3 linked regions of the Sus scrofa genome follow. The protein of the gene in region 1 interacts with the protein of each later gene in a biochemical or structural test. Links are inferred from orthologs where the notes say so. Each region holds a gene or a part of one and is shown on either strand. Other genes may lie near its edges. The genes, in order: MMP14, TIMP2 and LUM.

Region 1 (4,288 bases):
GCCGGTTGGAGAGAGGCCTGCACTTCCTGACCCCCATTTGTATAGGGGAGCCCTGAGGTGCTTAGCCACCAAATAGTCACTGTGGACTAGGGCACCTCATAGCCACCGTATACTTCTTGCAAACCTGTTAGCTGCACAGGTCCCAGGGAAACCTTTCCTTGTATTGATCGTGGCTCCTCCCATGGAGTCTGGGGGAAATAGGACCTTTGCTCCAATACAATACAGAGCACTAGACTTTTCTTTCATTCTCCTGCCACAAATGTGATAGTTCCTGGGTCTCTGGGGTTTCTGAAACTTCCTACCTGACTTAATTTCGCCCAACCTCCATTATTCCTTCTTTTGCTGTCTTTCCCCCCACTACCTCCTTCCTCTCTCGCTGACCAATGCAATTCTTAGATCTTAGATTTCGCTGATGGTCGAGTTTTCGCTCTCCCACACTTTTCCTGCCTCTTTCGTTTTGCTTTTCCAGATCTAGCCCTCAGCCTCTTATCTGTCTCCCTTTCCCACCATCAGCTCTAGCCTGCCCTCCCCCTTCCCTGCAAACCTCCACCTTTTGTTCTCAGAGTCTCCTCAGCCTCTGGAGATTATACTTTTTAAGGGATTACCTCCTTTTCCGGGGTAGCGGGGGAACTGAACTCCTTAGTCCTGACTCCCATTCTCCCTTTTTCTAGCAATTTCACCAGACTCCGTTTGCCTTTCCCTAGATTCCATAGTCTTGCACTCCTTTCTTCCCTGGCCAGTCCTAATTTAAGGAACAGCAGATTACAAATGACAATAATAAAGAAGTGCATTTGTCTTTCTACAAGGACAGGATCCCCAGATCCAGTGTGGTGGTGGGATCTCTCAGTGGGTAGTTAGGTCTTGCTATTGTTGCTTTTAGGGGGGAGGGGGTTGGTCAGGGGAGGGACACAGGTGCTTGTCAAGAATAAGGGACAAAAATACGGTTGAGCCACAGGTCCCAGGAGACAACCCCTCAAATCAGGTCTCCTGGACGAGCAAGACCGCCCCCCGCCACCATCACGGACTCTGAGCTTCTTGTTTGCCCCAGCCACTGAGCCTCTCAGTACTTCCCACGGAGGTGAGACAAATGCTGAATACCAGAGGAATCAAGCCACCCAAAATATGCTTAGAGAGAGAAAGTCTCCCACATCCCGTCCCCTGAGTCCCTCCACAGTCCCCCGCTCTCGACTGTGGCCTCAACCCCTGCAGATGGCAGCCTCCACCACAGAAAGGCAACTTAGGGGTTTTTTTACCCGGCTCTTGGCTGTAATTGGATTCAGGCTGAAACAACCACGTCCGCACCGGGAAAGGAGGGCATAGGGGCGGGGGCGGAGGGAGGCTGTGGGAGAAGGGAGGGACCAGTGGAGAGAGCAAGAGAGAGGGCTCACGATCCAGTTCGCCCACTAAGCAGAAGAAAGATCAAAAAACGGAAAAGAGGGGACGAGCAAACAGGCGCTTTCAAGAACAAGCCCCTCATCTCCAAGAGGACAGCGCCCTAGGAACCCAAATTCAGTGCCTACCGAAGACAAAGGCTGCCCGAGGGAGCGGCGGCGCGACCCCGGGGCTTGGGCCCTGCCGCGGAGCCCGCACGGCCCGACTGCCTGGACGGTCGCGGACCATGTCTCCCGCCCCGCGACCCGTCCGCAGTCTGCTGCTCCCCCTGCTCACGCTCGCCTCCGCGCTCGCCTCCCTCAGCTCTGCCCAAAGCTTCAGCCCCGAAGTAAGTGAGCTCCTCGGGCCCTGCCCGGAGTTGCGCCCGCGGGGAGGCGAGCCCGGGGGTCTTCGGGGGAACAGCCCCCGGTCGGAGAGGAGGGCTCTCGGGGTCTCGGCCTGCAGGATCCCCCTTCCTTTCCTTTCCCTCCCCCTCTCCAAACTTCCAAGTCGATCCAACTTTTGCCTCCTCTCACCGATCCAACTTTTGCCCCCCCACCCCAGCCGCTGACTTTTTTTCCCCATTCCTTTCCCTGGAAGAACTTTCCAGCGGGGGCCCACTCCCCACCCCTCCCCAGTTCCCCTGGGCTCTGAGCTCAGCCCTGGAACCGGTCAGGAGCCTGATAAATATTTGGACTCGGCTCAGACCCCGCGCTGTCCCGGTTTCTTGTCATGTGCGAGAGTTTGTTGTTTCTCCAACTTTCCAGCTCTCCAGCGCTCTCCCGCCCGCGCTCGCCGGCGGCGCTCGGGCAGCCGGGGGGACTCGGAGACCGCGCCGTGCTGCCCCCGGCCCCCCACGCTGCGGCCGCCGCTGCCGCCTCCTGCCTCCGGGGCGGTCCCGGCCCTCCCCCGACGCCTCGGCAGCCAGGTGTGGTCGGGGGGTGGACAGCGGAGCGGCCCTGGCCCCCCTGCCACCCCCACCTCCACGAGAGAGCCCTCTGTGCCCCGGCCCGGAGCCCTGGCGTCGAGGGTCGCGGCACTGGCGCCCTGGCCCGAGTTTCTGGACACACAAAGCTCTCCTTGTGAGCCGGGGGCTTGGCCTGGCCGCCGCCTCCTCTCCCTGCTCCGCCATCGGCGCCTTTAGGCTCTTTTTGTTAATTGCTTTTCTGTGTCAGTTGCAGGGAGACTGGGGGTGTCGTACCGGGGAGCAGGGCCAGGCTCTGGCCCTAGGTGCCCGCACACGTCTCACAGACTGGGTTGCCCCCCACCCATTCCCCGACGCTGGCCCACCGGGCCCGGGAGGAAGCCGCGTGGGAGTTGTCTGAGGAAGTTTTTTCCTCTCTCTCTCTTTTATTTTGGGGTGAAGGTGGGAGACAGATTTGATCAGCTTCTTATTTTGGGCCATCCCAACCCACTCAGCACGGCCAGGGCCTGGGTGCGGTCGGGAGGGGCCGGGAAGGGCCTGAGCTGCAGAGCAGGGGGAAGGGATCTGGACTTGGCTTCCTCCCTCTTGGTCCCGGCCCTGGTCCCACCCCTGGAGGAAACATCTCCAGAAAGAACACACTCCCTCTGTCCTGAGGGGAAAAGTGTGGCCCTAGGAACGGGGTGACCTGGGAGAGTGAAAATCTGCCCAGGGGCTAAATCTGACACCATCCACAAGCAAGAGGCAACCTCTCCCCAGGCCTGGAGTCTTCCTCTGAGGCCTGAAGGGGAGAGCTCCGAACAAAAGGAGCCTGGGCATCTGGGGGGCTTCCCACTGCCAACTTCGCCTGCCCTGCTTTCCTTCCCTCCCCTGCCCCACTAGGTCCCCTAGGGGAGGGGCAGCAGCCCTGGCTCCGTTTTAAGTGGGTCATGGGCAGCCCCAGTGCCAGAACCACCATTTGCGTCTGGGCCATGAAGGATGGGAGGCAGAGGGAGGGAGGAGCAGACCCAGGGGCTGGGATCCAGGGCCCTCAGAAAAGCCAGAGAGTCCCCCAACCCGCTGCCCCCCAAGGACTCCTAGGCCAGGGGAGTCCCTGTCCTTGATTTTCCCCTAGGGCAATACCTTGCACCACTCAATTTTCAAGACAAAGCCAGCTGATTGAGTTCTCTGACCCAACAGAGTTGCTCCCTCTCCAGGCCAATCTGGACGAGAGCTGAGAGCTGGGGTGGCCTGGGCCTCAGGCAGCCAGCTCCCTCCCACCACCTCGAGTCTTGCACCAGCTCCTGGACAGCCCTCTCCTCCCGCTGGCCTGTTTGGCACTTGGCCCTTCCCCCACTCAGCCGCAGACACAAGAGTCCTCTCTTCTGTGGTTCCGACCTCATAGTCTCCTCTGTGGTTCTTGCTTTGCTTAGATCCTAGGCCTGGGAGGAGGAGAGGAATGGGGGCCCTTCCTTTCCAGGACTTGCAGCTCTCCTGACTCCAGAGAAGTCCCTTTCTTGACTAAGTCTCCACCTTCCTCTGCTGGATACAGGGTGGAGATTGTAGGTGTGAATATTTAGACCTGCCTACCTTCTTGAAAGTCTCATCAGGAAGCGGGGTTTATCCTAGAACTCCCCCCGGATGTGGATTCTCCCCATCTCTCTGCCACCCTCTATCCTGTCATCCTACCCTAGAAGTTTCCTCGGCTTTGCTCCCTGAGGGTTGAGAGGGCCTGACCTCAGTCTTCCAGCTCCAGCAGTGGGCTGCTCCCATCCTTTCTCAAAGCTGAAGCAGCTGCTCCCCCACCAGAGGTCATAAGCCTGGGGTGTGACTCCCCTCTAGGTAAGGCCAGGGGCAAAGGGAGTTTCCTGCATACTTGGGCACAGGCCACAGCAGGCCTCCTGCAGGCACTCACTGTGGCATCAGCCAGCACAGGTCAGGGCAAGTTTGGAGCTCCCAGGAGACCAGCCGAGGAGCAACGCACTCTGCTCTGCTCCCTTCTGGTATACCCGAGGT
Region 2 (4,134 bases), on another chromosome or scaffold:
GTGGGCTAAGGGAGGAACCATGAGCAGGGCCCAGAAAATGCCTTCATCCAGTCCTTCAGGCTCCTGGGCTTCTGGGCCCAACCACCCCCCTTGCTGGCTGGTTAAAAATATGGCCAGTTTATGAATCCCGTTTTGGAGTTCCCTTTGTGGCTCAGCGGTAACAAACCCGAGTAGCAGCCATGACGACGCCGGTTTGGTCCCTGGCCCTGTTCAGTGGGTTAAGGATCCAGCCTTGCGTTGTGGTGTATGTGGCAGACCCTACTCAGATCCCCTGTGTGGCTGTGGCTGTGGTGTAGACTGGCAGCTGTAGCTCTAATTTGACCCCTAGCCTGGGAACTTCCCCGTGCCTCGGGTGCGGCCCTAAACAAACAAACAAACAAACAAACAAAACCCTGGTTTGCTCCTGGTAACCACTCTGCCTCTCCCTCTAACTCCGCTGGCTAAGCGCACTTAAAATTCTAAGGCCTCCATTTGAAAAGGAGTCCTTGGTAAGTTTCAGGCCACCCAGCCACAGGGAGCAGGGGGCGGGGGCAGGGCGAGGGGCGGCCGAGAACGACCCCTGTTCCAAAGCGCACATCCTTTTTCTCTTTCAGTCTCTGGCTAGAATCTCAGCGCCCCCCGGGGTGGAAGGGAATCAGGCAGTGTACACCTCCTGTGCCCAGCTGGAGGGGAAGGGCTGGTGGGTGTGCCGCCTGATGCCCTGGAGGGGTGGGCTGCGAGTCCCAGGTGCTGAGTCAGGCTGTGTGGGGCGCTGTCCGCGCCGCAGCACCCCCTCCCCCAACCCCTGGCGATTCGGGAGCCTGCAGGGTGCGGTCCCGGGCGGGGGGAAGCCAGGTGCGCAGCGGCGGGCCGGGGGCCGGGCCGGGCTGGGAACAACAAAAGCCGGGCTTGGGGGAGGGCCGGGAGGCGCGGGAGGCGCGCGGGGAGGGGAGCTCCCGGGGCCGTCATTGGCCGCCCGCCACCGGGGGGCGGAGCCAAGGAGCTAAGTATCGCAATAAAAGGCCGGCTCGGCCCGCGCCCGCGGCGCACACATCCATAGAAGGCAGTGGAGCCGCCGGGACCCAGGCCGCGGCGCGCCCGCCTGCTCGTTCGCCCGCCGCCCGCCGCCCGCCGCCCCCGCCCGCTCTCTCCTCCGCGCCGCGGGCCGCACCCCGCGCCCCTCGCCGCGCCCGCGACCAAGAGCCGAGAAAGTTTGTGCGGCAAGTGCGGGCCAGAGCGGAGGGCGCGCCCGCGGAGCGCCGCCGAGACCCGCGCGGCCCCGGCCGGCGAGAGGGGAGCTCCCCGAGCCCAGGCGGCGGCGGCGAGCCCGAGCCCGCGCCCCCCGCCCCCCGCCCGCCATGGGCGCCGCGGCCCGCAGCCTGCGGCTCGCGCTCGGCCTCCTGCTGCTGCTGGGGACACTGCTCCGCCCGGCCGACGCCTGCAGCTGCTCCCCCGTGCACCCGCAACAGGCGTTTTGCAATGCAGACGTAGGTAAGGACCGCGACCCCGCCCCGGCCCGGTGCCCACCGCCCCCGCGGGCCGCGCGGGACCCCCGAGGTTTCGCCGGCGCCCCGCCCGCCCGGCCGCATCTTGCAGAGGGACCCAGCGCCCGCCTCCTGGGCCTCGGTGCCTTCTAGAATCCTGCAAGTTGACGCCAAAATCGTACTTTCTTTTCCCCCTTCCTTCTCTCCCTTTCTTTTCCTCTCTGCCGAGATGCTTCTCAACCTCAAAATTCCACCGAAATTCCGCTGCAGCTCCAGCCCCAGAAAAGGGAGCCAGGGAACGGATCGGGTTTTGGCAGGCGGAGGGCCCTGGGATGCCAGCGCGGGGGTGGGGAGAGTGGGGGACACGGCGTGGGGGTGGGAGGACTGGGGACCCCGGGAGGAAACTTTCACAGGTGAAATGAAATGGGAGTTGGGCTCCTCTGGGCTTGGAGCTGGGTGGGGAAGGGCTGCACCAGCGGGGCCTCTCCCACCAGCCCCATTTGGGGCTGGTCAGATCAGGCTGGCCAGGACGGAAGCTTCCCTCTCCTGGGCAGGCTCCCCTGGCCTCCGAGGGGTAGGGAGAAAGATGGGCAGAGCTCCAGGGCGGGCTCCTTGCTCCATACCCTGCATCCAGGGACAGGCAGGAGCGTCCTTGAGTGGTGACTGCTTTTTCAGGACATTCACACAAATTGGGGGCTCTGGTGACTGGAGGCTGAGATAGGGCTGTATGGCTGCTTAGAGGCCCCAGCAAGTATCTGTTCCCCTCAGGGCCCCTTGCCCCCCCAGAGATGGGAGCTCTCCAGGGAAGGAGAGCTTGGTTATTTGTTGATCCCCAGAGGGGCAGGAGACAGAAGCAGGGAGAATGCAGCAAAAACGGGAGGAACCACCTGGGCCCCAGCGGTTCCCAGCCAGCTCTGGTGCTCGCAGGCCCCCTGTGCCCTGGTGATGGTCAGGCGGTTTTTCCCGAGGCACGCTGCCTTTAACCAGAAGGACAGATGCACAGCAGGTGGGCCTCTGCGGCTGCTTCCAACAGGTTTTTTTCAGCTTCTAAGTGTCAGCCAGCAGAGCATCTTGTTGCCAGGCCAGGTGTGGTGAGGCTGGGCCACACTCACGTGGGCCGACTCAAAGCCAGGGTCTGTGGGTTTCTCCTCCTGTCAGCCATGCCCCTCTGATCTCCCCACACTCCCCTGCCTCCTCCCCGGCTCCTGGCCACACCCCAGTTGGCCCCTGGAACTGCCACCACCGCCTGGCTTGGGAGGTCTTCAGGCACAACACGTAGCTCAGGCCACCTGCGCGTGGGGCGAGGTGTGTGCTTGCCTTCCGCAGAACTCGAATTGGGGCAAGTCGAGTCTGTCCTCCAGTTTGGAGAAGATTTGCAGGAGGAGGAGAGGCTCCTCCCAGTGGGGGGGCCGGGACTGGCCCTCCCGTGGGATGTCATGTCGCCTGGGGGTCCAGGCCTGGGCAGGCCCCTCGCTGAGAGAGAGGCTGCGGTCGGGGCAGAATCAGGCCCAGGCCCCGAGGGAACCCATGGCTCGGAAGACACTGGGGTCGAGGGGGCCAAGAGGGAAGGGGCTGGGCCTGGGGACCACCTTACACCCCTCAGCTGCGCGGAGACAGTGTCCAGCCAGCCGCTCCCATCCTTGTCCAGCATCAGCCAAGGTTTCTGCTTTGGGTTTGGATCAAGGGCAGCAAAGGTCAGGGTCCAGGAGACTCCGTGAGTCTGCAGGCTCCTTCTTGCTTGGCGCGTCACCCTCTCTTCCACCTGCACCTCCTGACATTTGTGTCCAAATCATTTGCAGCAAAATCATAGCCGAGCCCACACTTTTAACCCCAGCCCAGCCCAGCGGTCCAGCCAGGCCAGCCGAGGCCAGACTCGTGCTGCAGAGCCCAGTACATGAGATTCCTGTGGCTGCTGCAACAAGTGACGGCAGACCGGGAGCCCTAGACCATAGGCACTGATTCTCTCTCAGTCTGCAGGGCCTAAGGGCCAAGGTGAAGGTGCTGGCAGGGGACGTCCCTTTGGAGGCTCTGAGGGGGTCTGTTCCCAGTCTCTCTCCTGGTGGCTCCGGGCCACCCTTGGTGTCCCTTGGCTTATGGACACGTCGCTCCAGTCGCTGCTCCATTCCCTCGTGGCCCTCTTCTCTGCCTGCCCGTGTCTTCTCCTCTTGTACCAGTCATTGGATTCTGGGCCTGCCCTAGTCCCCTGTGACCTCGTCTTGTTCACATCTGCAATCCCCTACTTCCAAATAAGGCCACATCCCCAGGTTCTGGGTGGACGTGAAGTTGAGGGGGATGCTGCCCAGGCTCGTTCCACACGCAGCCCTTCTGTGCTCGTTCCACCCCGGATATGCTGCTGAGACCTCCCAGGGTGTGGGCCCCGGATGGCCGTGGAGCAAGCCCTGCAGAAAAAGCAGTGGCCTTTCCATGCCTGCTTCTCCTTTAGGTGCTGCAGGCTCGGTGATGATTCCCGCTCCGGCCGAGAGCGGCGTTGCCTGGGGTCTGGATCTCTTTGCAGATACCGAAGGTCTGGTTCAGATCTTGGCTTTTGTAATTTTAAAGCCCTCCAGGTGACTGTGCCATCGAGGCAGTGGCCCAGGAGTCTGGGAAAGGCAATGGCCTGTTGCACGTTGGGGTCCTTGAAGACTGGCCTTCTGCAGTGTGCTGGCTCCTT
Region 3 (2,649 bases), on another chromosome or scaffold:
AACAATGGAAAAAAAAACAAGGACTTAGGTCTATAAGAGTTTTCTATCCCTGCCATTTACCATCTGGAACATGTATCTGATCCTTTTGTCAGATATAACATACCCATCACACTGTGTCGCTTGAAGATTACACTAACTGAGGTCCATAAAGCACTTCACACAGTGCTAGCACATACTACCTACTAAATAAGTATTGGTATCCTTTTAATATTTTTCTCTCTTCTAAATTGCTTTACCCTACACAGACCTGTAACTAAGCTAAGGTTTCAAGTTGCAAGGTTGAAATATGAGAAATAGTTTTTGACACTATATTTCCTTTCATCAGAAAAACATTAAGGGGCTTGTTCTAAGAGAATGTGGGCAATTGGTATACATGATTATTATGTGGCAGAATCAACTCACTCGAAGATGCACAGGCAAAGTCAAATAGCAAGACTCCCTGAAATGTGGATACCGAAGTATCAAGGATAAGAATGGGAGAAAGGTAACAACACATTTCCAAATGGCTGTAGGTGCTGGGCACTGGGGTTTCAGTCTCATCTTGGCTGTGAGTGGCTGTTGGCATTTCTCCCATAGACCAACTGTCCTCGCTGCTACCTTGGCTCTTCCTTTTTAAATCATACAATGAAAACTGGTCCTTCGACCTCCAAATACCCCTCCATCTGTATTTCTCCCCTTTCTCGTCTCAGAGTAGAAAAGAGTCTTTCCTTTGGAGCTAACCTCCACCCACCAAATCTAATGGATTTCTTCAGCACTCCAACATCTTAAATCCCATTAGCATGCTGGCTTGTCTGAGCATCCTTCTTCCTAACCACAGATGTTTGTGATGTGGGACTGTATATTGCCACATAGTGAATGTTCCCTAGCTTAACTGTGTATTGTATGACAAGCAAGCTTTCCAGATACAAGAAAGAACATGTGGCATTGCAGAGTCGGCAAGCATGGTCTCCAAGAGAACGCCCCAACCCTATTAGGAGTTATATGAAACTCTGGCAGAATTATAGAATATCATATTAATAAGGCACATTGCAGGTTTTTTTTTTCTTTTCCCAATAGGAGTGTCAATATCCTTACCCACTATGACAAGAGAACCAACTTTAAACTGAAAGATGTTCAATTTAAATAGACTATTTGGCAGACAGAACTATTTACTGTGTGAATCAATGCTTCCCACCTGAGTTTTCATTTAAACAACTTCGTCTGTGAATTACAGTTTTTTTTTTTCTTCTGCCAACATCACTTAAAGAGTAAGGTCGAGAATGGGGAATGTTATTGTCCCATCTGGAAAAACGTCCTGGAAGACCAGGAGAGTGCATAAACACCCCAGGTGGATCAGGTCAAACTCCAGCAGACAAATGAAAGATAAGCTACAGCAGTAACAGAAAGGAAGGAGAACATTTGTGGGAAAATCAAAAGAGGCGAAGTGTTATGTGTAAGCAAAGAGACTCTGTAACGCGATTAAAGATATTCTAAGCCCTTATCATAGTTCTCCTTCATGCTCCCCATGGTCCTCGTAAGAACAACGTGAGGGCCACACACACTGTGATAGAGCAACAGGGATAGATGATGCTCCTGGTAGCTGAGTAATATGTTGAGCCCTAAATAAAGAGGTCAGAGGAGACCATGAGTGTACACAGGCTGCCTGGGCGGGGATAGATGTAAAAGCCTCTGCTGGCTCTGCCTCTTCTGGGCTTGTTGGTTTCTCCCTCAGCTACACCTTGCTTCTGAGAAATAAATGTAGACACACATCGAAGTCATGGAGGAGACAAATGAAAACAAACATCAAGAGATAACACAGTAGGATGAATTAGCCCAGAATATTAAATTGAAGAAATGAGTGTTTACATTCTGTGACCTTAATGGTTTCTTATCTGGACTCTCCAAAGAAAAGCCAGATATTGGATGGATAACAGAGCTAGAATTCTTCTGTATCCTTAGAGAAATCTTATTGTTGGCATTTTCATTTCTTTAAATGGAGCCAAATTGCAATATTTGTGTTGCACCACTCAGATATTTAAAGGCTTGAGGAAACATCAATCAAACACAGGCACAGCTCTCTACTTACTTTCAAGTTCATTGACCTCCAGGTAATAGTTTTCAAGGTTTTCATTGACAGTCGGTATGTTTTTAAGCTTATTGTAGGAGAGATCCAGCTCCAGCAGAGATGATAAATTAAAAGAATTTCCAGGTATTCCACTATCAGCCAGTTCATTATGAGACAAACGCAGGTACTGCAGGCCACTGAAATGCTTGAAATACTCATCTGGGATGTTGCTGATCTTATTGTTGTCTAAGTAGAGAGTTAGAAGAGATACTGGGAGGCCAGAAGGCAGTTTGGTCATCTGATTGAAGCTCAAGTCAAGGTATTCGAGCCCCTTAAGACCTCTAAAAGCCGCTGAAACGGCATCCTCTTTCAGCTGATTGTGTTGCAGGTGGATAAAAGTCAGGTTGACCAGTCCATCAAAGGAGCCGAGCTTCGAGATTTTGTTATTAGTGAGCTGCAGGTCCACCAGGGATTTGGGGAGTGGGCCTACAGACTCGGTCAGATTGTTGTAATTTATATGCAGCTTCTTCAGTTGCTTCAGTTTAGAGAAAACTCTTCCTTTTATTTTGGAGTTTTCTAGAAGGTTATGATCTAGAATGAGCCAC

The links.
Region 2: the proteins of MMP14 (region 1) and TIMP2 form a complex in vitro, tested with the Homo sapiens proteins (2 studies listed by BioGRID). The link is inferred for Sus scrofa from reciprocal best matches to the Homo sapiens genes MMP14 and TIMP2.
Region 3: the proteins of MMP14 (region 1) and LUM interact in a biophysical measurement, tested with the Homo sapiens proteins (2 studies listed by BioGRID and IntAct, with this or other methods). The link is inferred for Sus scrofa from reciprocal best matches to the Homo sapiens genes MMP14 and LUM.

Annotation. Positions count from the first base shown.
Region 1 is NC_010449.5:76,182,977-76,187,264, reverse strand, and holds the start of MMP14 (matrix metalloproteinase-14 precursor), read left to right. Parts: upstream 1-1,380; 5' UTR 1,381-1,618; coding exon 1,619-1,720; intron 1,721-4,288.
Region 2 is NC_010454.4:3,253,471-3,257,604, forward strand, and holds the start of TIMP2 (metalloproteinase inhibitor 2 precursor), read left to right. Parts: upstream 1-1,323; 5' UTR 1,324-1,337; coding exon 1,338-1,470; intron 1,471-4,134. UniProt on the Homo sapiens protein: Complexes with metalloproteinases (such as collagenases) and irreversibly inactivates them by binding to their catalytic zinc cofactor. Known to act on MMP-1, MMP-2, MMP-3, MMP-7, MMP-8, MMP-9, MMP-10, MMP-13, MMP-14, MMP-15, MMP-16 and MMP-19.
Region 3 is NC_010447.5:91,751,775-91,754,423, reverse strand, and holds part of LUM (lumican precursor), read right to left. Parts: coding exon 2,066-2,649; intron 1-2,065.